Linked DNA regions of Ovis aries. The protein of the gene in region 1 purifies or fractionates together with the protein of each later gene. This does not show direct contact. Links are inferred from orthologs where the notes say so. Each region holds a gene or a part of one and is shown in the gene's direction. Other genes may lie near its edges.

Region 1 (8,114 bases):
GGATCAAAGCCCGGGCAGCTGGCCTGTGTCAGGCCAGGGACAGCACACAGAGTCCCAGCAGACACAAGGAAGGTCAAGGGCTCCCTGAGGGCTCCTTTTTTCTACCTCTTTGCTCTAGTTGGCATGCAGGCCTGCGGCTCTCCAGCTAGGGCTCTCCTTTGCTTCCCAGGTTCTGTCCTTGCTCTGAGATGTCTCAGAGGCAGACCCTAGGTCCATTGTAGAGACTGACACTTCCTCGGGACAGTGTCCGGGGTTGGGGGCAGGGGGAGTGGTGGTCATAAATGGCTCACAAGTGCAGAAACAAGCAGCCCAAGAATTAACTGCTCCTTTGAGCATGGCTGCTTATTAAAGTAACTGGACCAAAGGCAGTGGCTTCATGGGAGAGGCACTATGGAGGCTTGGGTGAGGGCAGAGGAAACAGTGTACTTCCTTATTCCCCTCTGGGCACTGGAGGCTCGTGGACACTTCTAATGCAAAATAGAAACAGGTGATGGTAGACACTAAGTATGAAGGGAGACTGGGCCAGGGGACTGGTATGTAGAGTGAGTCAGATGAACAACAAGTCCCAGGAGATGGGTGGGGATTGGGCTAGGCTTAGAGAAGCAGCCCCTTGGGGCAGAGGAGAGGGAGGTGTCCCTGCTGGGGGTGAGTCCTCCAGACCAGGTGGAGGGCATCAGAGGGCAGACAGTGATGCCCTCTGTCTGCATCAGGGGGTCTGGGCCAAGAGCAGGGTGTCCTCCAGAGAAGTCTAGGGGACTATGAATGTCTCCCTTCTTCCTGGAAAGAGTCGGGGGGGAAAAAACCTTTTAAATCATGAACCTGTCAAGAGCACAGGAAATAACTGTTCCATTGGAAATAGCAGTTGGTACCCTACCCATGTTCATTATCACCAGACTCACTGCTCTTAGACTAGACAGGTGCCCCACTTGACTAAGCATCAGTTCAGTTCAGTCGCTCAGTCATGTCCGACTCTTTGTGAACCCATGTATTGCAGCCCGCCAGGCCTTCCTGTCCATCACCAACTCCCGGAGTTCACCCAGACTCACGTCCATCGAGTCTGTGATGCCATCTAGCCATCTCATCCTCTGCTGTCCCCTTCTCCTCCTGCCCCCAATCCCTCCCAGCATCAGAGTCTTTTCCAATGAATCAACTCTTCGCATGAGGTAGCCAAAGTACTGGAGTTTCAGCCTCAGCATTATTCCTTCCAAAGAAATCCCAGGGCTGATCTTCAGAATGGACTGGTTGGATCTCCTTGCAGTTCAAGGGACTCTCAAGAGTCTTCTCCTAAGCATAGTTGTAAACAATTCTGAGAACTGGCCCCATGGTGTCCATGTCTGTTCTGAGGTTGGTAGTGTGGCAGCCCGCGCAAAATGATGACTACCTTCTGGGTGGTGAGTATATCTGTGTTGAGTAGAGCATCTCGCAGGACTCTGGGGCCTCCTCTTCTGTCTACCATGGTCTCTGTATTTCTCTTGCTTTCAAGGGTCTCTGCTCTTGACCTTTCCCACCCACCATTACTGGCTGTTGGCAGCTGTTTCCCAGTTACTGGCTGCCTTCGGGTTCAGTTGCCATGGTAACCCCCAGTGGTTCCGGTGGACAGGCTTGAATGAAGGCAATCCTAGAAGGGTGAGGATCGAAAATGTGGGGCTTGGGCCTCTCTTATTCTCTCTTGTTCCAAGGCCCTGTTCTTTTGCCAGCTCAGCTGGACCCTCATGAAGGCCCTGGGAACTCCCCCTTGCTATTGAAGGGTTTCCCCAGAGGGTCAGAGATGGATCCCAGCTCTGAGGACCAGGTGCAAGGGGAGGAGAGTCAAGCTGGACCTGGAGGCTGGCTCTCCATCCTTCCTCTGAAGCTGGTCTTTGGAGACAGGTGAGGAGCAGCTATGCAGTTCCCGATTTCTGTGGTCCTCATTTCCTCCAGGTCTGAAGATGCCTTTGACTGCCATGTTTGCTAGCTGGCTGGCCGGCTGGCTGACCAAGCTAGGGTATCTGAGACTAAGCCAGGAGGACCAACCTCCTTCAGGCAGGGGCTGAGAGGGGGTCCTTGGAGTGACTGAGAGAACCTGCCCACAGTCAGTTCTGTCGTTAGTCCTGGAGTAGCTTCCTCTTACCCTGTTTGCAACTGAAGTTGGAGTCCTGATTGTATAGCTGCCTTTCCCCCTTTCAAATGTATAAAACCTGACAAATGGGAAAACTAGAGAGTGGAGTTGCGAAGTTGCCTTTCTAAAAGGTTAATGGTAGGATTTCTTGAAGTAGGTCATATCCCCAGGTGTGGCAGGGCAGTGGGAGTCCCACCTTGGTTTCGAGTATGGGCTGACTCCTGGAAAACTTGGAAGGGTCAGTCTACACAGGAGCAGAGGCGAGTTGAGGAACCCTGCCCCTCCAGCTTCTCATTGCCCCGTCCTTACTGAAGTCTTTATATTCTGAGATCAGACACATAGCTTTGAATCAAAGGATCCTAATTCTGAGACTGAGGTCAGGAGAGCAGTCTCACTGGCTCTTCTTGCTGTGTGAAAATTTATTATTCATTTATTTAGTAAATCTTTAGCAAGACTGCAATAAGGACCCCAGCAGGGAATGAGCTGGACACTACTCTTCCCCTAACAAAGTTGATGGTTCAGAACTTCTCCCAGGAGTCAAGAAACTTGTCCAGGGAGACACTGCTCTTTGGAATCACAGACTTGCCTGGCCTGGGGGCTGGGTGGCTTCTGCACCAGTGGGGATCAGGTATTCCTGCTTCTAGATGCTCAGTTCCCAGCAGCACTGAGCTCCTGGATGTGTGCCAAGACAAAATGAGAGGTCCTAGTGAGGATTTAATTAATACTGGATAATTACCAGGCAGAGCTTAACCATCCCAAATGCCTTTCAGATTCCCAAGGCTATATCTAGTCACTTTCTGACTTGGCCCAGCAGAGAGACAGGATGCTGTCCCATGCTTACTGGGACTTTGGTCAGCACCTGGGCTGTGTTATGAACACACTGGGAAGGTTTCCACTTTTTTCTCTTCCTTTGCAATCTGCTGTAGGTGAAAGTGCAGCTTGGGAAATAGCATGGCCTCTCCAGATTGCTTAGGCCCCTTCCTAGGGACAAAGGATAACAGTGTCTTGCCATCTGCTGAAACACCATCAAGCAATGCTGGCCCAGGGCCCAGGGTCCAGGGCAGAGTATGGGGAGAGAATAGGTGTGCAGACCTAGTCCTGGGAAGCCTGATGGGAACCCTCAAGCAGAGAAACAGGCACAGTAGTCCTTCCTGCCCTAGGCTTTATTCCTTTTTCTCAAGGAACATATTTTCTAACTCATTTTTCCAGATTTATCTGCCTGTGGCTCCCAAATTATTATACCATCGAAACTCCTACTGTCTACAAGGCCTTCTTTCTTTGACATCTCAAAGACCTCCTGCCAGACTTTAGAGGGTCCTATGGTCATTCCACCATGCCACCCAACGGTCAGGGTGGTTGTGACTTTCCCTGGTCTTCACTCTTGTTGTCCTCTATGTCCACATGGCTTTCCTCTGGCTCTTCCTGTGGTTAGATCCTGCCCAGGTCTCGGAGTCAGCTTGAATGTCACCCCCTAAAGAGGGTCCCCTTGTTCTCCACCATATCTGGAAGCACACCGAGATGGTAAGGTGGCATTCTTGCCTGTGGCTCTCAGCTATGTCCCTGGTACCCAGTAAGCGCGGGCAGATGGTTGGAGCTTAGCGTTTGCTGAAAGAAGAAATGAAAGATAAGAGGCACTAACACTCCGCTTAGCGGGTAGACCTCTCATCCTTGCGCCTGGACTGAAGATCACCAGGGTAGCCGGGCGAGCAGACGGCCCCTTGGCGCAAGCGCACTGAGGGCCGGCGCTCGGCGGGAGCGCGCACGCTCGCGGCCGCGTGCGTCACAACCCGGGCTCCCGCCCCGCCCGTCCAGCTCGCCCGCTCGTCGGTGCCCGCGGCGGCGGCGGCGGCGGCGGCGGCGGCGGCGGCGGCGGCGGCGGCGGCTGCCCAGTGACAGCGGCGGCGGCGCCAGGCCGGCCGGAGTAGCGTAGGGTGGTGGGGCCCGGAGACACACACCCTGCCAAAGGGCGGCGTGGCGCGAGGAAGGCCCGACCCGGGTCGCGCGTGAGGAGACCTCGCGGGGCGCCGGGCGAGAGGCCGGCGTGAGGGAGCGCCCGCCTAGGCGGTGGCCGCCGGCGGCCCGGTCCCGCCTGCCGCCGCCGGCATGAGCCACATTCAGATCCCGCCCGGGCTCACGGAGCTGCTGCAGGGCTACACCGTGGAGGTGCTGCGGCAGCGGCCACCAGACCTCGTCGACTTCGCGGTGGACTATTTCACCCGCCTGCGCGAGGCCCGCTCCAGAGCCTCCACCCCGCCCGCCGCCCCTCCTTCCGGCTCCCAGGATTTCGATCCCGGCGCTGGCCTGGTCGCCGACGCGGTGGCGGACAGCGAGTCGGAGGACGAAGAGGAGTTGGACGGTAGGCGGCGGGCTGGGCAGGGGTTCGCGGTACGGGGACCGAGGAAGCGGTGCCGGGGGGCGAGGGTCTCTCGAGATCCAGAGAGGGGCTGCGAGGGGCCAGGCCCGCCACCCTGGGCCGGGACCTTGGAGCCCGCGAGGGGAGTTCGTCCAGGTTCCCCAAGCCGCCGGCGTGAGCCACTTCCAAATTGAGCTCGGCGATCCTGCCAGCCCCGGAAAGCAGCGAGCGAGTTGTCAGATTCAGCTCGAGGGAAACGTGCGCGCTTTCGGCCCGCGTGCTGGCGCAGGGCCGGAGGGGCGTGGAGCCCACGGCCGCCTCGGCTGGAGAAGCTTCGCCCGGTTTCGTTGCGAAGACAAGAACGTTCGCCTACACCGACTCGAGTTTCCTAACCAGGACGGTAACTTGGGAAAGAACTCATTTTGTGAAAAGTTATCGTGCAAACTTTAAGCGTAGACAGAAATAGAAAAGGTGACCTGAACTCCCTGTATACCGTCACCCACGTTACACAGTTGAAATATCTGTCACAAATGTTTCATCTCTCTATATATATTTTTTCTCCTTTGCTGAAGTATTTTAAAGCAAGTCCCAGCATTTCACGTTCTTTCAGTCTTGGATACTTCAGTATATGTATAAAGATATATGTATAAAGATATATTTAATTTGCCTAAAATCACTGGATCAAATGTGGTGAGGGTCAACAATACATTTTTTTCTCATATGTGGTGCAGGAAAGACGACTAGTAACACCTCTATATCTGATTTAAGCAAGATTGTCAAAGAGGAATTCCATTTTCCTTGATGGCTTCAACACAGACTTTGTCAGTTTAACGATAGAATTACCCTAGTTTTGAACAGCCAGAATTTAACAAAACAATGAAAACACTTGAGAGACAAAGTTAGAGACTTAGTGTTTACTAGCTCGCACTGAGAAAACCCCCAACAACCTAGTTTTGAGTTGAATCCGCATGTAAGTTAGGCTGGCAGGGAGTTAATTATTGGTCATTGCTATTGCAGGTTGTAAGGTTCAGTGCCGTGGACAACTTAGTTTATTCACGCTAAGAATGGAAATTGTTCGGCCATGTTACCCTGGCTTTAATACACATTAAATTATGGGTTTTTCACCTTAAACCTGGAAATCAGAACTTATTTCACAAACCAACCCCTGCCACAGAATTGCTTTGTGGTCTAAGATAAGCCATGGAACTTGTCTGATTTCAAATTTGCTTATCTTTAAAATAGGGTTAGTGACCACAATCTCCCAGGAATAAATGTGTTTTTAAAAGGTTTATTTCAGAAGTGACTTCTGCATTTGTTTCACTGTCATAACAATAAATCACAAAGTTGTAACTTGCTTTGCAACAATATTTACCCCAAATGTTATTATTTTAGTTATTAGTCACAGGTGAGTAAAACAGAATTTCCAAGTTTTGTGTCATGTCTTCATTTTTTGGTCATTTTTTATATATTTTTCAAAGTTGAATTGACTCAAATCTTTGTAACCCTGTGCTTTATTTTACTGGTATTTAATTTTTTTGTTTATATCTCTTCAGTGGCTGTGCTAAGTATAATTATAGCAGTCAACACAAGGTGAACTTCTGTTTACAGATAATAGACTAAAAATACACTGCACACAGTGAGATACCACTTCATAACCATGTGGTTGGCTATTATGGAAAAAAAAAAAAAAACAGAAGAGCAAGTGTTGGTGAGGATGTAGTGAAATTGGAACTCTTGCTTACTGCAGGTGGGGATGTAAAATGTCCTGGCTGCTGTGGAAAACGGTTTGACTTTTCCTCAAAAAGTTAAACATAGAATTACTGTGTGATCAAGCAATCCCACTATGTGTATACCCCCAAAGAACTGAAAGCAGGGAGTCAAACAGATACTTGTATACTGGTGTTCATTGCTGCATTAATTCACAACAGCCAAAAGATAGCCCAAGTGTTCTATAGACAGATGAATGTGTTATATATACAAGCTGTGGTATATATGTACAATGGCACACTATTCATCCTTAAAAAGGAATGAAATTCTGATGTATACTACAGCATGGATGATTCTTTTTTTTTTTCCAACAACGTTTCATATTTATTACTGAGTCTCATAGACTGATAGTGAGGAAACAAAGACCATCAGGAGCCAAGTATTACAGTAGTGATGTTCTTTTTTTTCTTAGTAGTGATGTTCTCACTGTGATTTGGCTGGTTAAAAAAGTTGCCTTAACATGTGTGCCACTTTTTATGTGAGGCTTCTTATAGACCCAGCTTGGTTCTTCTCCAGTGTCTTCTCTGGGAATTGTACCTGATCTTATTGCCAGTTTTCATTTGAATCCATTGAGGAATGGGCCAATTCCGCTTTTGTTTCTTGGCCAGGAATCACTTGATCCTGAAAGTCTTGTGAGATGATATGGTGAGGAGAGAACTCAACCGCACATAAGATGGCGGAGAAGAGAAAAGAGGAAGAGCGTGGATGATTCTTGACGACATTATGCTAGTATAATATGCTAGACACAAAAGGACAGATATTGTATGAATCCATTTATATGAAGTACCTGGAATAGGCAAATTCATGGAGACAGCGGAATAGATTACTAGGAGTTGGGGAGAGTGGACAGTGGGGAGTTACTGTTTAATGAGGGCAGAGTTTCTGTTTGGAATGATGACAAAGTTTTGAGGTTGGATAGGGGTGATGGTTGCACAACGTTGCAAATGTACTTAATACCATGAATTGTACACTTCAGTGGTTGAAATGGTAAATTTTATGTTATGCAGAAAACATATATTTTTGAAAAGATAAGAAATACTAGGATTAGGATGACCGAAAAGTTCATTCGGGCTTTTCTGTAACATCATACAGAACACATTGCATATCCAGAGATTAGGAACATTAGGATAATAAGTCCACAGTACCTAAAATTAGAAATAGGGTATATAGTATGAGAACCATAATATATCAGAGACTTTATTTAGTAGGGCTTCCCTGATAGCTCAGTTGGTATAGAATCTGCCTGCAGTGCAGGAGACTCCTGTTCTAATCCTGGGTCAGGAAGATCCCCTGGAGAAGGGATAGGCTATCCACTCCAGTATTCCTGGGCTTCCCTAGTGGCTCAGCTGGTGAAGAATCCACCTGCAGTGCTGGAGACTTGGGTTCGATCCCTGGGTTGGGAAGATCCCCCTGGACAGGGGAAAGGCTACCCACTCCAGTATTCTGGCCTAGAAAATTCCATGGACTGTATAGTCCATGGGGCTGCAAAGAATCGGACACGACTGAGTGATTTTCACTTTCACTTCACTTAGTAAGGTCCTGAATGGCTAACCACCAATTCAGTTTATGAAAGTGTATGTTGCTAGAAACACTCAAAAAGCTTCACTAATTGTTATTGGTTTAGTTTAACAACAGTTTGATATCAAACAACACATCAAATATGAAGTATTAGAATGAATATTTCATTCTTGGGAAAGCCTGAAGAGTTCAGACTTTCTTGACTTATTAATAACTTACTCTGACTGCATCCTCATAGGAATAATAACTTGGCATCTAGACTTGATTCACTTCTGTAATTACAGTAAAACATATTTGTGGGTCTCAGCATTTTTTTCTTTTTTGGATTTTGGAGACATAATTCATATACCACATAATTAACCCATTTAAAATGTTTAG
Region 2 (7,994 bases), on another chromosome or scaffold:
TTGCAATTCTTTGCTCAGGTATCTTGTCAGGATATGATGTGAATGAATGATAGGACTTGAATAGTTGCCAGAAGGAGGTGTTTGAGCACTAGCGCCACATATTTGCCCTTCTAACAGAAGTCAACATGCAACTTTCAACCTTTACTGAGCACCCATTATATATTAATATAAGACGAACATGTATGATTGGCTGGTCTTAGTAACAGGAAACACTGAAATGATCTTATTCCTTTAAAAGATTCTTGAACATTTTCAGCGCATACTGGAACAAATATTTCTTGAATGTTTTCAGCACATAGTGGAACAAACAAGTGAATTCCTTAGTTATTGAAAAGCAGCATCTATTAACAAGCAGGAACAGACATCTTGTCAGATATTATAGGGCTTCCTCCTCCTAGACAATCAGAACCGACAAACACAATCCCTCTGTCCAGGCAGTATTTAAATCACTGCACTATTAGAACACTTAGTTCCAGACCTAGTTTTACTCTCAGCTTGGCGGGTGACAATAAATTATCTCTTTTATTATTTGAATTATTTATTTCCATGATAAAATGCTTAATCTCATCCACTTCTCAATTCAGGTTAGGAAAACAGGACAATATATACTTGGGTGTTACAAGCTGCCACAATTACATATGCATTACAGGGTCTGAGAACAAAAAGTCTTTGTCTTAAATCTAAGAATGTCTGCTGCTGCGGCTAAGTCGCTTCAGTCGTGTCCGACTCTGTGCGACCCCATAGACGGCAGCCCTCCAGGCTTCCCCGTCCCAGGGATTCTCCAGGCAAGAACACTGGAGTGGGTTGCCATTTCCTTCTCCAATGCATGAAAGTGAAAAGTGAAAGTGAAGTCGCTCAGTTGTGTCTGACTCTTGGCAACCCCATGGACTGCAGCCTACCAGGCTCCTCCGCCCATGGGGTTTTCCAGGCAAGAGTACTGGAGTGGGGTGCCATTGCCTTCTAAGAATGTCTAAATCGGGACTATTCAAAACTGGTCTTCCGTTTGTGGTAGATTTAAGATCTTTGCTTTTCTTCTTTTTCCTTTTTTTAACCCAAATTTCACTCAACACCACTTGTATGATTTAACGCATAGCTTATTCCAGTTCACACATACTAGTTTTTCAGTCCAGCCTAACCCAAAACAAAGGAGAAACATGATCAACTAGAGAAATTAAAAAGTGTAGTTAGTTCATCCCAGGAATAGATTTGAAGGTAAGATGATGGGGAAGAAAAAGGAAGTAATGAGGGAAGATATGAAAATAAAGGAAGGAGAGTCATGCTAAAATTATTAAAATGGCTCAATTCAATCCAACAAGTGTTTATTGAGTGCAAAGCATTTCCCTGGTCTTTTTAGTAATGCCAAGGTGAGCAAGACAATCTTTGCCATTAAGGAGTTGGGAGTAGGAGGTGAAGTAAGAAGGGCAGCTGCTGCTGCCGCCGCCAAGTCGCTTCAGTCGTGTCCGACTCTGTGCGACCCCATAGACGGCTGCCCACCAGGCTCCCTCGTCCCTGGGCTTCTCCAGGGAAGAACACTGGAGTGGGTTGCCATTTCCTTCAATGCGTGCATGCATGCTAAGTCGCTACAGTCGTGTCCGACTCTGTGGGACCCTGTGGACAGCAGCCCACCAAGCTCCTCTATCCACAGGATTCTCTAGGCAAGAATACTGGTGTGGGCTGCCATTTCCTTCTCCAATTAAGAAGGGCACAAGTTGTTATTAAAACACAGAGTACATAAAGGAAATACAGGGAGAAGAGAACTGACATTAAGGATATTTTGATATGCCAGGGGGAGTCACATACGTTAACTCACATATGTTAACAAGCCTTCCAAAACTTCCAGGTAAGCTAGAGGAGGATAGGTAACTTGTTCAAGGTCATTTAAGTGAAAAAGTCTACACTGGCTTTGTCTTCAACCCAGGTTGCAAAGCCTAGAGCCTTTCAGGGCACCATAGCTAAGGGGAAGCTCGTGGGAGGAGATTGAGTTAAGACAGGAGGAAACAAAGAGATCAGAAAAGCTATTCAGGGCGGCGAGTGAGGTGGGCCTCGAAGATGAACAGGCGATTGGGCAGCCTCATGTGAGGAAAAAGGGAGGCACTTTCGGCTCAGGAAGGAGTGAAGGCTACTGGCCGCCCTGCCAGTCCTCCGGGTTGACCAGTCAATCTAGGCTGAAAAATTGTCATCCGGTGGCTCACTTCTCCAACCCAATCCCTTCTTCGCCCCCGTCTTTTCCTTTGGGGCTTTTCAGCGTTCACCAGTTTCAGCGTTAGGCACCTGTACTTTCTCCTTTGCTCTGAAACTGGAAAAATCTCAAATGTTCTAAAAAGGACCACTGAGTCCCTTGGACGACGGTGGGGGTCCGACCGGCGCTCCTGACACAGCGCCCTCTCTCCCACCTCCTCAGCCAGGCCTCCACCCGCGGAGCGGCATGCGCCCCGGGGAAAGCGTGCTCCCCCGAGAGCCGGGTTTCCGCCAGTGGGCGCGGCGGGCGGGAGGCCGGGAGGGGGTCGCCGCGGTGGCCGCGGGGCCGGCGGGGCCGCGACGGGCGGGGCGGGGCCGCGGCGGGGCGGGGCGGGGCCGCCGGCGCACCTGCCCGGCGCGGCGGGATTCGCGGCGGCTGCGCAGACGACGTGCTCCCCCCTCCCGTTCCGCCGTGTGTTTACGTGGAGACGAAGATGGCGGCGGTGGTGACGACGCGGCCCGTGCGGCTGAGGACGGTCAGCCAGTGAGCGCGCAGCCTGGTTCCGCTCCGGGAGGGGCGAGCGCCCGGCCCGGCCCTGCGCCCTGCGCCGCGGAGCTTGCGGTCCCACCCCCGTTGGAACCGACCTTGCCTTCCCGTCCCCGACCCCCTGCCTGTGTTCCCCCCAGCCTTCCCCGCAGAAGCTATGGAGGACGAAGAGAGACAGAAGAAGCTGGAGGCTGGCAAAGCCAAGGTGAGAGAGCCGGAGGCCGCCCGGCCTGCGCTGGGAGGCGGTGGCCGGGGAGGGCTGGCAGGGGTCCTGCGAGGCGGAGGCCTCAGCTTGGCAGCCCCGGCGCGCTGCCTGGGACGGAGGTGCGGCGGCGTCTGCCGTCGCCTTGCCCTCGTCTCCCTTTTCTAATTGAAAAAGCCTGGTGAGACACTACCTAGCGGTTATTTCCGTGATGACTGGGTGGTGTGGCTCCTTTCTCGTGAATGCCCACATAAAACCTCTCCTTTTTACTGTATAAGCTGTTACAGCTTGCTTCTGAATCTCCAACCTTTGACTTGTTTTGAGGGAGTTTTCTGGGTTGTGCAGACATTGTGCTTTTCAGGGTGGGGATTTGGGGCTCTTCTTTATTCGGGTGGGGATTTGTACGCTCATCATCGGCTTGGCTTTCTTAGGTGGCACGCTGGCACTCTTGAGTGTGTGATTGGCCTGTGACAGCTGCCTCAGTCGTGGCTTGAGTGTGCCACAAGTGCCAGCTGTGAACTTCGCTGTAGGGGCGTTTTTAGAAGCATGGCTTTGTATGTTTGTGTTCGGAGGTCTTTGTCACGGCATGCGCCCTGTATTGTGTGGAATGTTACCGCAGTCTGTGAATGGAACTTACGGGGACGAAAGGGTCCATATTCCTAGCATCACCTATAGAATTCTTGCTTTCTTGTCGAGTCCCTATCTTGTATGTGTGTATGAAAAAGACTGTAAAGGAAACAATGGAAAAGGTTTTATTATTCACTGGGTTTCATGAACAATTTGACATAGACGAAATATAAATTAAATATAAATAGAATATTAATAATATTAAATATTAATACTATTAAAAGAAATAGAATTTAAAATTACTTGCTTGAGCATATTTTTTTGACTGGCCAAAAGGACCCCTTCCTCCCTATGATGAAATTACAGTTTACTGTATATTGTTTTATTAGAGATGATTGTTCACAGTCATACTTGCATCTCAATTAAATTATAAATAGTTTAACTGTTTCTTTTCCTCTCTGTCTCCTCCCTCCAAATAAGCAAAAGGAGACTGGGTCTGATTTCAGTAATCACTGAAGAACCACACTGCAGAGATACAATTGTAGATGCTGAACATAAGTTTCTTGACTTAATATAAATGTATAAACTATCTCTGTATTATCTAAGGTCAAACCTTAAGTGTTTGTATCAGGTAGATTGTTATTAGGATCTATACACAGGGAAAGGAAATCAAGGCATCTTTAAGATCTCACGTTGCTTACATTTCTGCAGTCTTGAGGATCTGAGCACAATCTATGAATCGAAGAAAGTGGAGGAAAAGTGTGTACCTCCTTCCAAAAGCATTGACGTTGTAGTTAGACGTTTTGTTTGTTTGCTTGTTACCTCAGTATTTTTACTATCTGCCTCCTGAAGTATCTCTCCTAAATATATATGAAGCCGTCCAAAAAACATAGTTTACTTTGGACAACACCTCTCATAACAGAGGACTTATTTAAATTGCTTTGGTTTGGCGAAAAAGAATTCTAGTTTCTTTGTGTGTATGTGTGTTTTTTGTCTTTCAAAATTCTGCCTATGGTATAAAAATCTTATCCTTTTAACATTCACTTTCATTGTGGAAGATTATCTTCTAGAATTGAGCTGAATTTTTCTAGTCAGAAAAGAATTCAAGACATGTAAGGCAAGATGTGTTTGCTGGAGCATTGGCACCAAAATATAAAAACACTGGGCAACCTCCAAAGACAGTGTTAGGAGAATCACTTTCTAAACTATATTATTTAAGCATGATAGAATATTTTTCAGCCATTAAGGTTACGAGGGCTGATAGGAACATGAACAGTAAGAACATGGACATAGTTCGAAAATAGTGTATACATTACTTCTTTTGTATAAATGTATGCTTTTATATTAGGACTTAAAAACTTTGGGTTGTGAGTGTAGGGTCGTTACGCAAACCTGTGTCAAACTCCTGTTTTACACCAAGCGCTGTAAATACAGAGATGGTGACAGTCTGTTTTCTGAAGTTGCTCAAAGTTTAGCAGGACAGATACTGGGTACTAAGTACAGTGAGGGAGGTGGTATTATAGAATTTGTGGCGAATTGTGTCATTTGTTAAAATGTGTTAAATGTTGCTGCCTCATTTTTAAGACTATTTTACAAAGAAGGTTCTTGATAATTGATATTTAATGCAGTCTAGCCTGACACCTATCAGATAGTAAGTATGCAGTAAATATTTGCTTAGTGAATGAATGAGCAGAGTGACCGTGAGCTGTTAATATGTGCTGCTTGACTAGCATATTGTAATTTAATAACAGTAATTCAGAATTCTTGTCATTGGAAGTCTCATTGCTGGCATTAGAGATCACTGAAAACAACCATTTCTAAAACTTTATTCAGATACTTGGTTCTCTGAATGTCTTGTTTGTTCATTGAATTTAAATACTGTATTTGCTAATCTAGTTTTACAGACCACAACTTGGAAATTTTCTTCTTGGTGTTTGGTAAACTATTCATTGAAAAACTTACTTCCTTTCTGTATCTATAAATGATCATTTTTAAAATGACCTGTTGTGAATTCAGTATAGTATACTTTATAAAATGTGTTACACCAACCAAAATTCACAATGTTAGAAGAATAAATTTGGTATGTGCGCTGTGCTTAGTTGCTCAGTCATGTCTGACTCTTCGCAACCTCACGGACTGTAGCCCACCAGGCTCCTCTGTCCATGGGATTCTCCAGGCAATAATACTGGAGTGGGTTGTCATGCCCTTCTCCAGGTGATCTTCCTGACCCAGGGATCAAAGCCAGGTCTCCCACATTGCAGGTGGATTCTTTACCGTTTGAGCCACCAGGGAAGCCCAAATTGCCATATATGTAGCCATCAAAATAATTCTGCAGAAACATTCTGATTTGGGAAAATGCCCACAAATAACACCAGATTGATAACAATGTTACCAAAAAAGATATATATACAATTTTTATATATGAAGACACCTGAAAAAAAATACACCAAGATATAAATGATGGGTATCTCTGGGTGGTAGGTTATAGGCAGTTTTAATTTCCTTTACACTCCTAGTATTTTCCAGATTCTCTGCAGTATATTTCCTTTATGACCAGTAAAAATGTTTACATGCCATTTTTGAAAACAGTAAAAGCTTATCAATTATAGTATGTTGAAGAGAATGTTAATATTGTTTGATCGTTATACAGAACAGGAAGATGAGCCCTAGGGTAACTAGGCTTCCCAAGGGCCCTGGCATCAGTGTAGTTCTGGAACTACAGTTCTTACTCCAGTGCTGTTTCCATTCTGTAGTTGGGATTCTCTGTTATTAGACATTTATATATCTCCTTTCTGGTTTTGTAGATCTTATGCTTTTTCTCTGTCGATTCTCATTGCCATGAACATGCCTATCTCCATCTAACCTGCCTCCTCCCTTAATTTGCTGTTTTAGATTTCCTGTGAGTAGCTTGAGGGGATGGTTTCGTTTGTAACAACCAAGCACTGATGGAGCCTTGTGAATGCGCTTTATGACTATTTCGTTTCTCTGCTCCTTGTTGGTTTTTTCATTTGCTGTTGGGTCCTCAATTACTTCCTCAGTACTGAGGTAGTAAGACGCATGACCTGTGGAGACATGAGACATTACTGCATTAAGTAAATATTTTCAGAACCAGGCTAACCTCGTTGCAAGGAGCTGACAAGGACAGCGCTACACAGGCCGTCCTTGTGTTGATCCAGACTTCTAACTCCACTTGAAGTGACTTCAGTTTTTTCCAAGTAAAATTATCTACAATTTTTTGGAAAAGAAAGTGTTGTAATATTAGCAAACAGAATTAGAGGACAGTTGTATATTTAGTGTAAAATTACTTCTGCATATTCACAGAATGTATACTTTTTAACATTCTACTAGCAGAATTCTATAAAACCACAAGTTTTTATTAGCTATTCAGCATTTAATATAATTGGCATTGTTGAATAATTATAAAAATTTTTGCCTGTTGCATTCAGTAAGTAATAATTATATGATTGTTTAATGAGGATTTTCCGTTTGAAAAATAGTGCTAGTTCTATACAAAAAGGACAGTGCTCTCTGCAAGTTGTGTATTAGGTTATTGATAATAGGACTCTTCAATTGTTATTTCCACTCTGATAGACGAAGTTAGTCATGGTGTGTAATTGCTCCTTGCATATTTCAGACATTCCCCTCCACCACTAAGAGCGTTGTTCTCCATCCCTGTTTCTTTTATACCTTCTAGTTTTTATTCTTATCTGTGACATAGCTTGCTTAGCTTTCAAAGTAGATACTGCAGTTTGATACCTTCAACATTTACTGTAAGAGTGGTGCATTGTCTGCGATTTAAAAAGCAACTCATGACCTTTAGTATTTGTTGGAAGAAAAAAGCAAAACGTGATTTTTAGTTTGTGAGCTTTAACGAGAGAATATGGAGGAAAGAATGAGCAGAACAGGTTTCTCAAAGTGTGTATTGAAGAGAGGTTTTGAAGGCTAATCCAGGGACATGGCAGGAACAGGGATAGAGCAGTGATTGGGTAAAAGAGCCTCAAGATCTGACAAAGAGAGACTCAGAAAGGAGGTCTGTGGTGTCCTGTTAGTGAAACTGAAAGTTGAATAAGCTCATGAAAAAGAGAAAGTGAAAAAGATAGGATCTATCCAGGTGACTGGAATATGACAAGATTACAGCAAAAATTATTTTTAAACAAAACACCTCTTATTTTTATATATTAGAAGTTTGTAGTAAGAGTTAAACTATGACTGTGAAGAATTTATCTGTTGTAGGCTACTGCTTATTGAACTATAAGTGAATTTCCTCTAATACGAAAGCTAGAAAAGGTTCTCATGGTAAATTGTTAAACGTTAAATGATGAGGAACGTTTTTTATATCTCGGTTCAGTTCTACTGAAATTGAAATTGGATATCTTATTTCATTTGTTAGCATCTCTTTAAAAACTTTAATTTGGAAAGCTTCAGAATGTTTCAAAGTTTATTTATAAGCTTATAAAAGGGCTGTTTTGCATTTGGAGCTTCTGTGTTTATATGCTGTTT
Region 3 (8,178 bases), on another chromosome or scaffold:
AAATATGTCAGCTCATAATTTACATCAAATAAATTTTAGAAGAAAAACTTTTCCTTTTGGATTTCAGATTTGCAGATAAGGGACTGTAGACCTCCATGTCAGTTTGATGGGGGGAAACAATGGTTTATCTTACACATTTCTGGAAAGGAAAGTTGGACTCATACCTCATACCATATATTAAATTTCAAGATCTTAAATGTGAGGGGAAAAGAACAACATTTCGAAGATTGTTCACCTTGACATTAAAGGAAGCCTTCCTGAACAAGCTAGGAAACCAAGAGACCGCGGAAGAGATGACTTCATAGAAATCCGAACAGACAGCCCAGTGTGCATATCGGATTCGCTGGTGCGCAGGGAAATGCCATGGGAGGCAGCATACATTCTTTTCGCTCACCCTACAGGAAAAACATTCAACAGTGGTAATATCTAACCTTGATGGAGAGGCGGGGACAAGTACATTGTTTTAGTACAGATGGGAAAAGCACAACCTACAGTGTTTTTGCAGGGTACTCAGGCACTGTCACTTTAGGGAACGTGTTTAGTAGGATTAAAAGCACTAGCATGGAAATATTTAAGTATATCCTTCATTTGGTTATTATAGCAAAAATCTCAAAACTATGTTAAGTTTGCTCAGTCAGGAGACATTCTGGTGTGTCCGTCTGTGCACCTGGAGGGAGAAGGGTAGTGTGTCAGCAAGTAAGATGTAGTAGTATCCTAATTGTGCATCTTTTTTTTTTTGTCCATTCATAAAATTTTTATTCCACATTATACTTGGATTATTCATAAAAATCTCATAAGACATTAAACAAAGCCATCATCTCAAGTTATTTCCATGTTAACTATTTTTTTACAGCACATCATGTTAGGCAAGTATATTAAAAAAAATCACAAAAGCAAAAACCCTAAAATTTAAACATATGAGATTTTTGTTTTATTGCTGTGCTTGATATACATGAAGTAATAGATATCAAGCAATTCACTTTTATTGCATCTTTGTATATTTGTTCTTGAGTTACCTGAATAGAAAGAACGTGAGTGTAGCAAAAGCGACAAAAGCAAACAGCTGTTGACTTTACAAATAATGGAATGTGACACGTTTCTGCCCTTATCCAGAGAAAATTGAGTCACAGCTAAAGGAACACTTCTGTAGCTGTAGTCAATGGTGTGCACATTGAGAGTGCGTATTCCACAGATAACACATGATTTAACATATAATATATCCACGGGATATCCATTTCTACTACAGCCTTGTAAGTGCTCCAGAGATTAAAGTCCCCGCAACTACAGCTGTGATTAGAACCGGTTATCCCTTTTATTCCCCACCAGGGGAAACCAGTATGTAGGCAGTTTTCTTTTGTGCATCTTTAACTTGTTTCATTTTGAGCATACATGAGGACTATTTTCCCCAAGTAAAAACGAAAAAAGATGAAGGTGGGGAAAGGGAATAGAAACAGACAAATGAAGTGATTTTCTGAAATCCGATGTAAAGAGTTGGCTAGGGTTGAGTAGAGGTCCCAAAGGTCAGCTTCCCCACCCCTCCAAAAATAGCTTTTTTTTTTCTGTTTATGGCTTTATACTTGGGTTACCCATTACTTGCGTTAATGATGGAAGTGAGAGTTGCCTTCACTCACAGAGAAAATCATGTAGCATTTTGGTGTAAATTGCCCCAGACACTGGCATGCTCCGCACTCTGTCCCATCACACATTTTATGCCAGGGGAGAGAGAAGCCCTGTTTTAAGACTGCATGGTGTTCTTCTGAACATCTGGTTTATGTAACCACTTTTCCACTGAAGAACACTAAGGTGCTTTCCAATTTTTCACCTCTGCAACCAGTGTACTTGCATGTTCCCAATTTTAAATTTAGGCTAGACTCCCTGGAGGAATTGCTGAGAAAATTTTTACTTTTGATTATTGTTCAGTCGCTGAGTCCTGTCCAACTCTTTGCGACCTCATGGACTGCAGCATGCTAGGCTTCCCTGTCCTTTACTATCTCCCAGAGTTGCACAGACTCATGTCTATTGAGTCAGTGATGCCATCCAACCATCTCATCCTCTGTTGCCCTCAATCTTTCACAGCATCAGAATCTTTACCAATGAGTACTATCACAATGATTTTTCAGAAAATAAACACTTGAGCCTCTCACCAAGAGTGTTAAGTGTCTCTTTTCAACCTTTACATTTGAGGGTATAATTCTTTATCTTGGGAATCTTATGGATTAAAAGGATGTATATCACTTAAGGGCTTCCCTGGTGGCTCAGATCGTAAAGAATCTGCCTGCAATGTGGGAGACCTGGTTTCAGTCCCTGGGTGGGGAAGATCCCCTGTAGAAGGGAATGGCAACCCACTCCAGTATTCTTGTCTGGAGAATCCCATAGACAGAGGAGCCTGACGGGGCTACAGTCCATGGGGGCGCAGAGTCGGAGACGACTGAGCAACTAACACTTTCGTATCACTTAAACATAGTGTTTGACATTCTTTTCCTGCTTTTATATCCTCCCTGTTTATCCTGCAGAGTTGTGTGTGTTTTAGGGCAGTTGCCCTCTTGTTAGGAGTTGCACATTTGGTTTTTAGTGTTTGTTCACTGCTTATAAATTTTTATGTAAGCAAATCAGATCGCTGCAGTACAGCTGTAAAGACATGACTTTAATCAGTTACAGTAAGTATGGCGTGGAAAGATGGACCATTGGAGCAAAGATCAAATCGGGTCTTGGCTCCATGCTTGTAGAGTGAACCCACGCTTGTACTCAAGGGTCCACTTACAGACCTAACGCAGTCTGCTTGTAGTCATTGGCAGTGCTGGGTCCCGAGGTGGAGGTGGAGAGGTGCGCGGGTGTGTTTGGGCTCTACCCGATCCGGCGGTGTGAGGGTGGGAGGCTTCTTTGGAATGCCTGGGTCAGCCTCTGCAGCCCTGCCTGCCTTGCCCGCAGCTCATGATGGAGCAGTCTAAGAAGTCCTCGCTCATGGTGGCTCGCAGCATCCTAAACAACAAGCTAATCAGCAAGAAACTGGAGCGCTATCTGAAGGTGAGGTGCACGCCCCTGGCATGCCGGCCCAGTCCCCAGCCGCGACCCCGCGGGTTCTCCCTTTCTTCATGTCGCGCCCCTCTCCGCAGGGTGAGAACCCTTTCACTGACAGCCCAGAGGAGGAGAAGGAACAAGAGGAGGCCGAGGGAGGTGTCCTTGATGAGGGGCCGCTGGTTGAAGCGGCCGGGGTCGCGGAGGGTGCAGAGGCCGTGCCGGCTCAGCCCCCAGTGCCTCCAGAGCCAGTACCCGGGGCCGCGTCCCCACCCCCGCCCCCGCCCCCGCCCCCGGAGGAGGACGAGGAGGCCGTGCCCCTACTAGGCGGGGCGCTGGAGCGCCAGATCCGAGGCATCCCGGGCCTCGACGTGGAGGCTGACGACGAAGAGGAGGGAGGAGGAGGCGCTCCATGACTTGGGGCGGGCGGGGCTCGCGGGGCCGAGGCTGCAAGCTGAGTCTAATAAAAGTTCGTCTCATCCCACCTCGTCGTCGTCGTCTTTTGTCTGTGTGCTGCACGGTCCGCCTGGGCGGGGGTCCAGGCCTCACCGCTGGGCTGTGTGTGTCTGCGGGTGCGACCTGGGGCTGTTGGGTTAGGTTTGCGCATTGGCGGCGAAAAGAATGGATACGCCTGCGAGCGGTGAGGCACAGCGCCCAGGAGCAAAACTAGCAAGCTATGAACACCGACCCGGAACAACCGGAAGGCCAGCCGGGGTGATAAAGGAGGGCCCGCCGTGAACTACGGCCAATGGTATCGCGTAGCAGGGGTGACGTATGCGCCTGGTCTACCATTAGAGGACGGCGGGAAGTGCGTTGAGCGCATGCGTCCTGTGATAGCCTAGAAAAAGGAGCTGCTTGGCGGGCGGAGCTGAAGACATGGATCAGGGCTACGGAGGTTGGTGTGGGCGACTCTGCGGGGTGGGGCGGGAAGGTGGTGTCCCGGCACAGTTCCGACGCCGTGCAGGGGGCCGCGGGCCGGAGACTACACCCGAGCGCGGTTACCGCAGTTCGGTCTTGGTGGAGAGGCGGCCGGGGCGCGCGCGCGCAGCTCATTGGACCTCGGCCCTGTCGTTCCCGGGGCGCTGCGTGCGGATTGGCCGACAGGACCTGAGCACGTTGGCCGAGTTCGGCGGCCCGACGCTGGGGCGGACTTCGGGGGGCGCTTCAGGCATTCGGCGCAGTTTCAGTTTTTCACCCCCGGCTGGGTCGGCCGGGCCCTGCCGAACCCCGCCGCTCGCAGGCCCGGTGTCTCTTTCGGAAGACGCCACAAAATGGCGGCGCCGGGAGGCGGAGCTATGACGGGATCTCGTGGGGCGCGCGGGGTCTGTGGCTTGGGACCGAGACGGGATCGCTGCCTTTTCCCGAGCTGTCGTGCCTGCCTGTCTGGGAACCTGCGGGGTTGGCTGGGGCCTCCGTGTGGCACAGGAGGTCTGGGGCGCTGGTCCCGAAGGCCGTGTGGGCGGCGCAGGTTCGGACCCCTTGCCGCCAGTCGGGCGGTGCAGAGCAGCCGGGCCTAGTGCAGCCTCTGCGGTTATCAGCCTCACTGGGCGACTGTCGCGGACCTGGCTCAAGCACATCTGGGACAAGACACTGAGGGTCAGATGCGGGGTACCTTCTTGATCAAAGCCTGGAAACTCTATGTGCTCTGGGGTCGTGACAGACTGGTGGTTCTCCTAAAGGTTGTCGTCTGTGGTGGCCTGGAGACGCCAGAGGGGCTGTGTGAGGTGGAAAGTGCCCTTTACCCACTTGGATTTCAGGGCCTGCGGCAGGACGGACCTCGAGCGACCTGCTCTGTTTCTGGAATCTGAGCCTCCTAGGAGGCCTTTGCTGCTTGCTGGAAGCCGCGTTTACCTGCAGGGAATAGTTGGAATATGCAGGACTGGGCTTGACCCGGCGCGGATCTCTGTCCTGGCTTATGAGGTTCAGACACGGGCGATCAGATCTTGGCTGCCGCAGGGAAGGCGCGTGTTTTGAAAGGGCAGCATTAGCAGGAGGCCAGCAGCAGAAGCAGAACGGTCCTGGTGTCTGGTGTGCCCGGGTGTCTCCAAGGTCGTTGAGTGGTTCAGCCTGGTTCTCTGGTCTTTTCGGCAGTCAGATTGGATCTCACCCTTCTTTGCCTGCTTCCCTAACCAGATTTTCCAGCTAGTAATAATCCTGCCTTACCTGTGCTCTTAGCTTAGAGGGTTTACACCCTGCTCCCCTTCTACCTACCAGAAAACCTTTTCAGATTCGGTTTAGGTGCAGCGGCCTCCCAGAATCCTTCTGTAGCTTTTCCACCTAGAGTTATTTCCTAAGACTTGTTGCGGTTTAAGAGTTGCTCGTTGGCCCTCGGAGGCACCTCGATCTGGGTCCAAGTCCTCCTCTTCCTGCTCCTTAACATGTTCTTGGGCAAGTGACTTATCCTCTGGAACCCCTGTGTACCACAGAGTGAACAGTACCTATTTCAAGGGTCTTGAGGTTATGTGAATGGTTTATGCTTTTTAGTTAGACCAGTTCCACAGAGTTGGTCAGTTGCTGTTAGAATCACTGCTCTGCTTTTCTGCTGCATAGACGTGGAAATCTGTGTGACGGGAGATAACCTTCAGCAGGGTGACTTCAGTTCAAGTCCCATAACGTCTGAGCCTTAGCTCCCTAGCTCCCTCTGAATGGCATTCTGGGCTCACCAGCTGAGTGTCAGTCTCGTGTGGGCATACAGTAGGCATTCATCTAATGGTTTGGATTGTCTTGGTAGGAACATTCATGCTCCGTTGCTAACTCACGTCCAGCTCTTGCAACCCCACGAACTGCAGTCCACCAGACTTTTCTGTCCATGGGATTTTCCAGGCAAGAGTACTGGAATGAGTTGCCATTTCCTACTCCAGTCCTGGTAGGAGAGAAGGGAAGTATTTGAGAGAGAGGAGGCTTTGCAGAAGTGAAGTCATTTGGCAGGTATGAAAGGTTGCCTGTGCCCAGCTCAGTGTCAGGCTGGAAACACAGGTAAAGAGGGACCAGATAGATGCTGTCATGGGAGTGTCCAGAGGGGCCGGGGGAGCCACTACAGAGAGGAATGCCATCTGATGCCTCAGGACCAGGCTGAAGCCCTGGGACGTCAAGGCCCAGAGGAGCATTGGAGAGTTCAGAGTCAAAAGAAGCGAGGCCTGCAGAGACACAGCTGTTGGCTCCAGATAGTCAAAGTTTATTCCCAGTTAGGCGGTTCTTCCCTGGTGGCTCAGAGGTTAAGCGTTTGCCTGGAATGCGGGAGATCCAGGTTCAATCCCTGGGTCAGGAAGATCCCCTGGAGAAGGAAATGGCAACCCACTCCAGTACTCTTGCCTGGAAAATCCCATGGAGGGAGAATCCCTTGGAGGGAGGAGCCTGGTAGGCTACAGTCCATGGGGTCGCAAAGAGTCGGGCACGACTGAGCGAGTTCACTTCACTTCACTTCATGGCTGCCTGAGGGGGCTGGGGGTGGGGACTGTGTTCTAATGGTGAGTGAGCTGGTAGCTAGTCCTGTGTCTTCCTTAGTTGTGGGTTGAGGCTTAGGTCAAGGTCCCTCAGCAAGCGATGGACCAAACTGGCGCAGAGGCCCATCCCCCTCCTCTTTTTTCTGCTTTGACCTCAGGCAGGTGGAGTGTGATAATGCAAAAGCCAGCTGTGGGATGACTTTTAGGGGGGCATTGTTGTGGTTGTGCTGCCTTCTTGTAAGACTGGCACTCATCTCCTTCAAGGAGATTCCTTTATGCTCCTCAGAAGCACTTGTTCTCTGGTGTGACAAGTATGACTGTAACTCACAAATATGTTCACAGGTTATGGGGCATGGAGTGCTGGACCTACCAACACCCAGGGTAAGTGAGACCTGCTTGTCAGGGAGGCATGGGCTACCCGCCCCCAGCACTAGCATGAACATAGCTGGAACCAGGAAGCCTTTTTTGTAAAGGGCCAGATAGTAAATTTTTTTACTTTGCAGGCTATATGGTCTCTATAGTGCAGAAGCCACCATAGACAGTTTATAAACAAGTAGGTAGGACTGTGTGCCAATAATGTTTACATAAAGACACTGAAATTTGCATACCATGTGATTTCCATTATGTCATCAAACAGTCTTTATTTTAACAATTTTTGTTCTATCTTAAGTAAATAGTCGAGGGTATAACCAAAGATTTTTATAAATAATACTTTCCAGTAGTTTTAGGCTTATGGGATTGATCAGATAGTACATAGAACTTCATATGCACACTCACAGTCTATCTTCGACTCAGGCACAATTTCCTTTATTATTATAGTTAGCAGAATGTGTTACAGTTTATAAGCCAGTGTTCATACAATGTATGGTCTATAGTTTACATTAGTTTTTACTCTGTTGCACAATTCTGTGAGTTTTGACAGATACGAAAATGTGTCTTTTGTCAGAATTTGCATGCTATGAAGTATTATTTTGACTTTTTTTATTTGTTTGTTCCCCAACCGTTTAAAAACATAAAACCCATTCTCAGCTTGTGGGCCCTACAAAAACAGGGCTGTGGACTGGATTTGGCCCTAGGCCCGTCCATGGACCCGGCTCAGGAGTCCCCATCCTGGTACTTAGTGTGTTTGAAGAACTAGAATGTACTCTCTGGTGGGCGAGGTTTTCTGCTTTTTGCCAGCATTTGTTCCAGGGGATTGGTTGAAGGTTTCCTTTGTTTTCTGAGCCTGGAACTTGGCCCTTGCACCACTGGCAGCAGGGTTGCTTTTGAGTCACTTTTCCACCCATCACCTAGTGTCCCAGCAGGAGGCCTTGTGTGTTGCCCAGGCACACGATGTCCCCTGTTCAGTTGAGCTGGGGACGTGATTTTCCACCAGTGCACTCCGTGCTGTTGGCGGTGCCTTAGATCTGGCGCCTGGTGAAACTGGCACTTTGGAACAGCTCTGCCTGGGGGCCTGGCCTGGCAGCCTCTTCGCTGCTGGCCCACGCTGGATGAGCTTCCCGGAAAAAGACTGTAGTGTCCTTTCTGTTGCCCTAAAGGACAGCTTCCTTAGGAGAGATGCCCTGGTTACGCTTAGCTGAGCATTTCTGTAGGAAATGAGTTTTACAGCTAGTGGACCCCACCTTTCCTGACCTCAGTGGGCAACCAAGGGTGCCTCCTTGCAACACTGACCTAGCCACCCCCAGCTCTGGCCCTGTGGATAGTGGAGTGAGGTGATGAC

What was found.
Region 2: the proteins of PRKAR2A (region 1) and AKAP9 purify together in Homo sapiens (affinity purification with western blotting; 3 studies listed by BioGRID, with this or other methods). This does not show direct contact. The link is inferred for Ovis aries from reciprocal best matches to the Homo sapiens genes PRKAR2A and AKAP9.
Region 3: the proteins of PRKAR2A (region 1) and AKAP8 purify together in Homo sapiens (affinity purification with western blotting; 3 studies listed by BioGRID and IntAct, with this or other methods). This does not show direct contact. The link is inferred for Ovis aries from reciprocal best matches to the Homo sapiens genes PRKAR2A and AKAP8.

Annotation. Positions count from the first base shown.
Region 1 is NC_056072.1:51,130,243-51,138,356, forward strand, and holds the start of PRKAR2A (cAMP-dependent protein kinase type II-alpha regulatory subunit), read left to right. Parts: upstream 1-3,909; 5' UTR 3,910-4,201; coding exon 4,202-4,454; intron 4,455-6,706; exon of another isoform or gene 6,707-6,940; intron 6,941-8,114. UniProt on the Homo sapiens protein: Regulatory subunit of the cAMP-dependent protein kinases involved in cAMP signaling in cells. Type II regulatory chains mediate membrane association by binding to anchoring proteins, including the MAP2 kinase.
Region 2 is NC_056057.1:10,030,108-10,038,101, forward strand, and holds the start of AKAP9 (A-kinase anchor protein 9), read left to right. Parts: upstream 1-2,650; 5' UTR 2,651-2,882; coding exon 2,883-2,930; intron 2,931-7,994. UniProt on the Homo sapiens protein: Scaffolding protein that assembles several protein kinases and phosphatases on the centrosome and Golgi apparatus. Required to maintain the integrity of the Golgi apparatus. Required for microtubule nucleation at the cis-side of the Golgi apparatus.
Region 3 is NC_056058.1:7,591,169-7,599,346, forward strand, and holds the start of AKAP8 (A-kinase anchor protein 8), read left to right. Parts: upstream 1-3,831; 5' UTR 3,832-3,891; coding exon 3,892-3,910; exon of another isoform or gene 3,911-4,611; intron 4,612-6,800; coding exon 6,801-6,839; intron 6,840-8,178. Other genes in the region: AKAP8L (A-kinase anchor protein 8-like), read left to right, coding at 2,929-3,024, 3,114-3,431. UniProt on the Homo sapiens protein: Anchoring protein that mediates the subcellular compartmentation of cAMP-dependent protein kinase (PKA type II).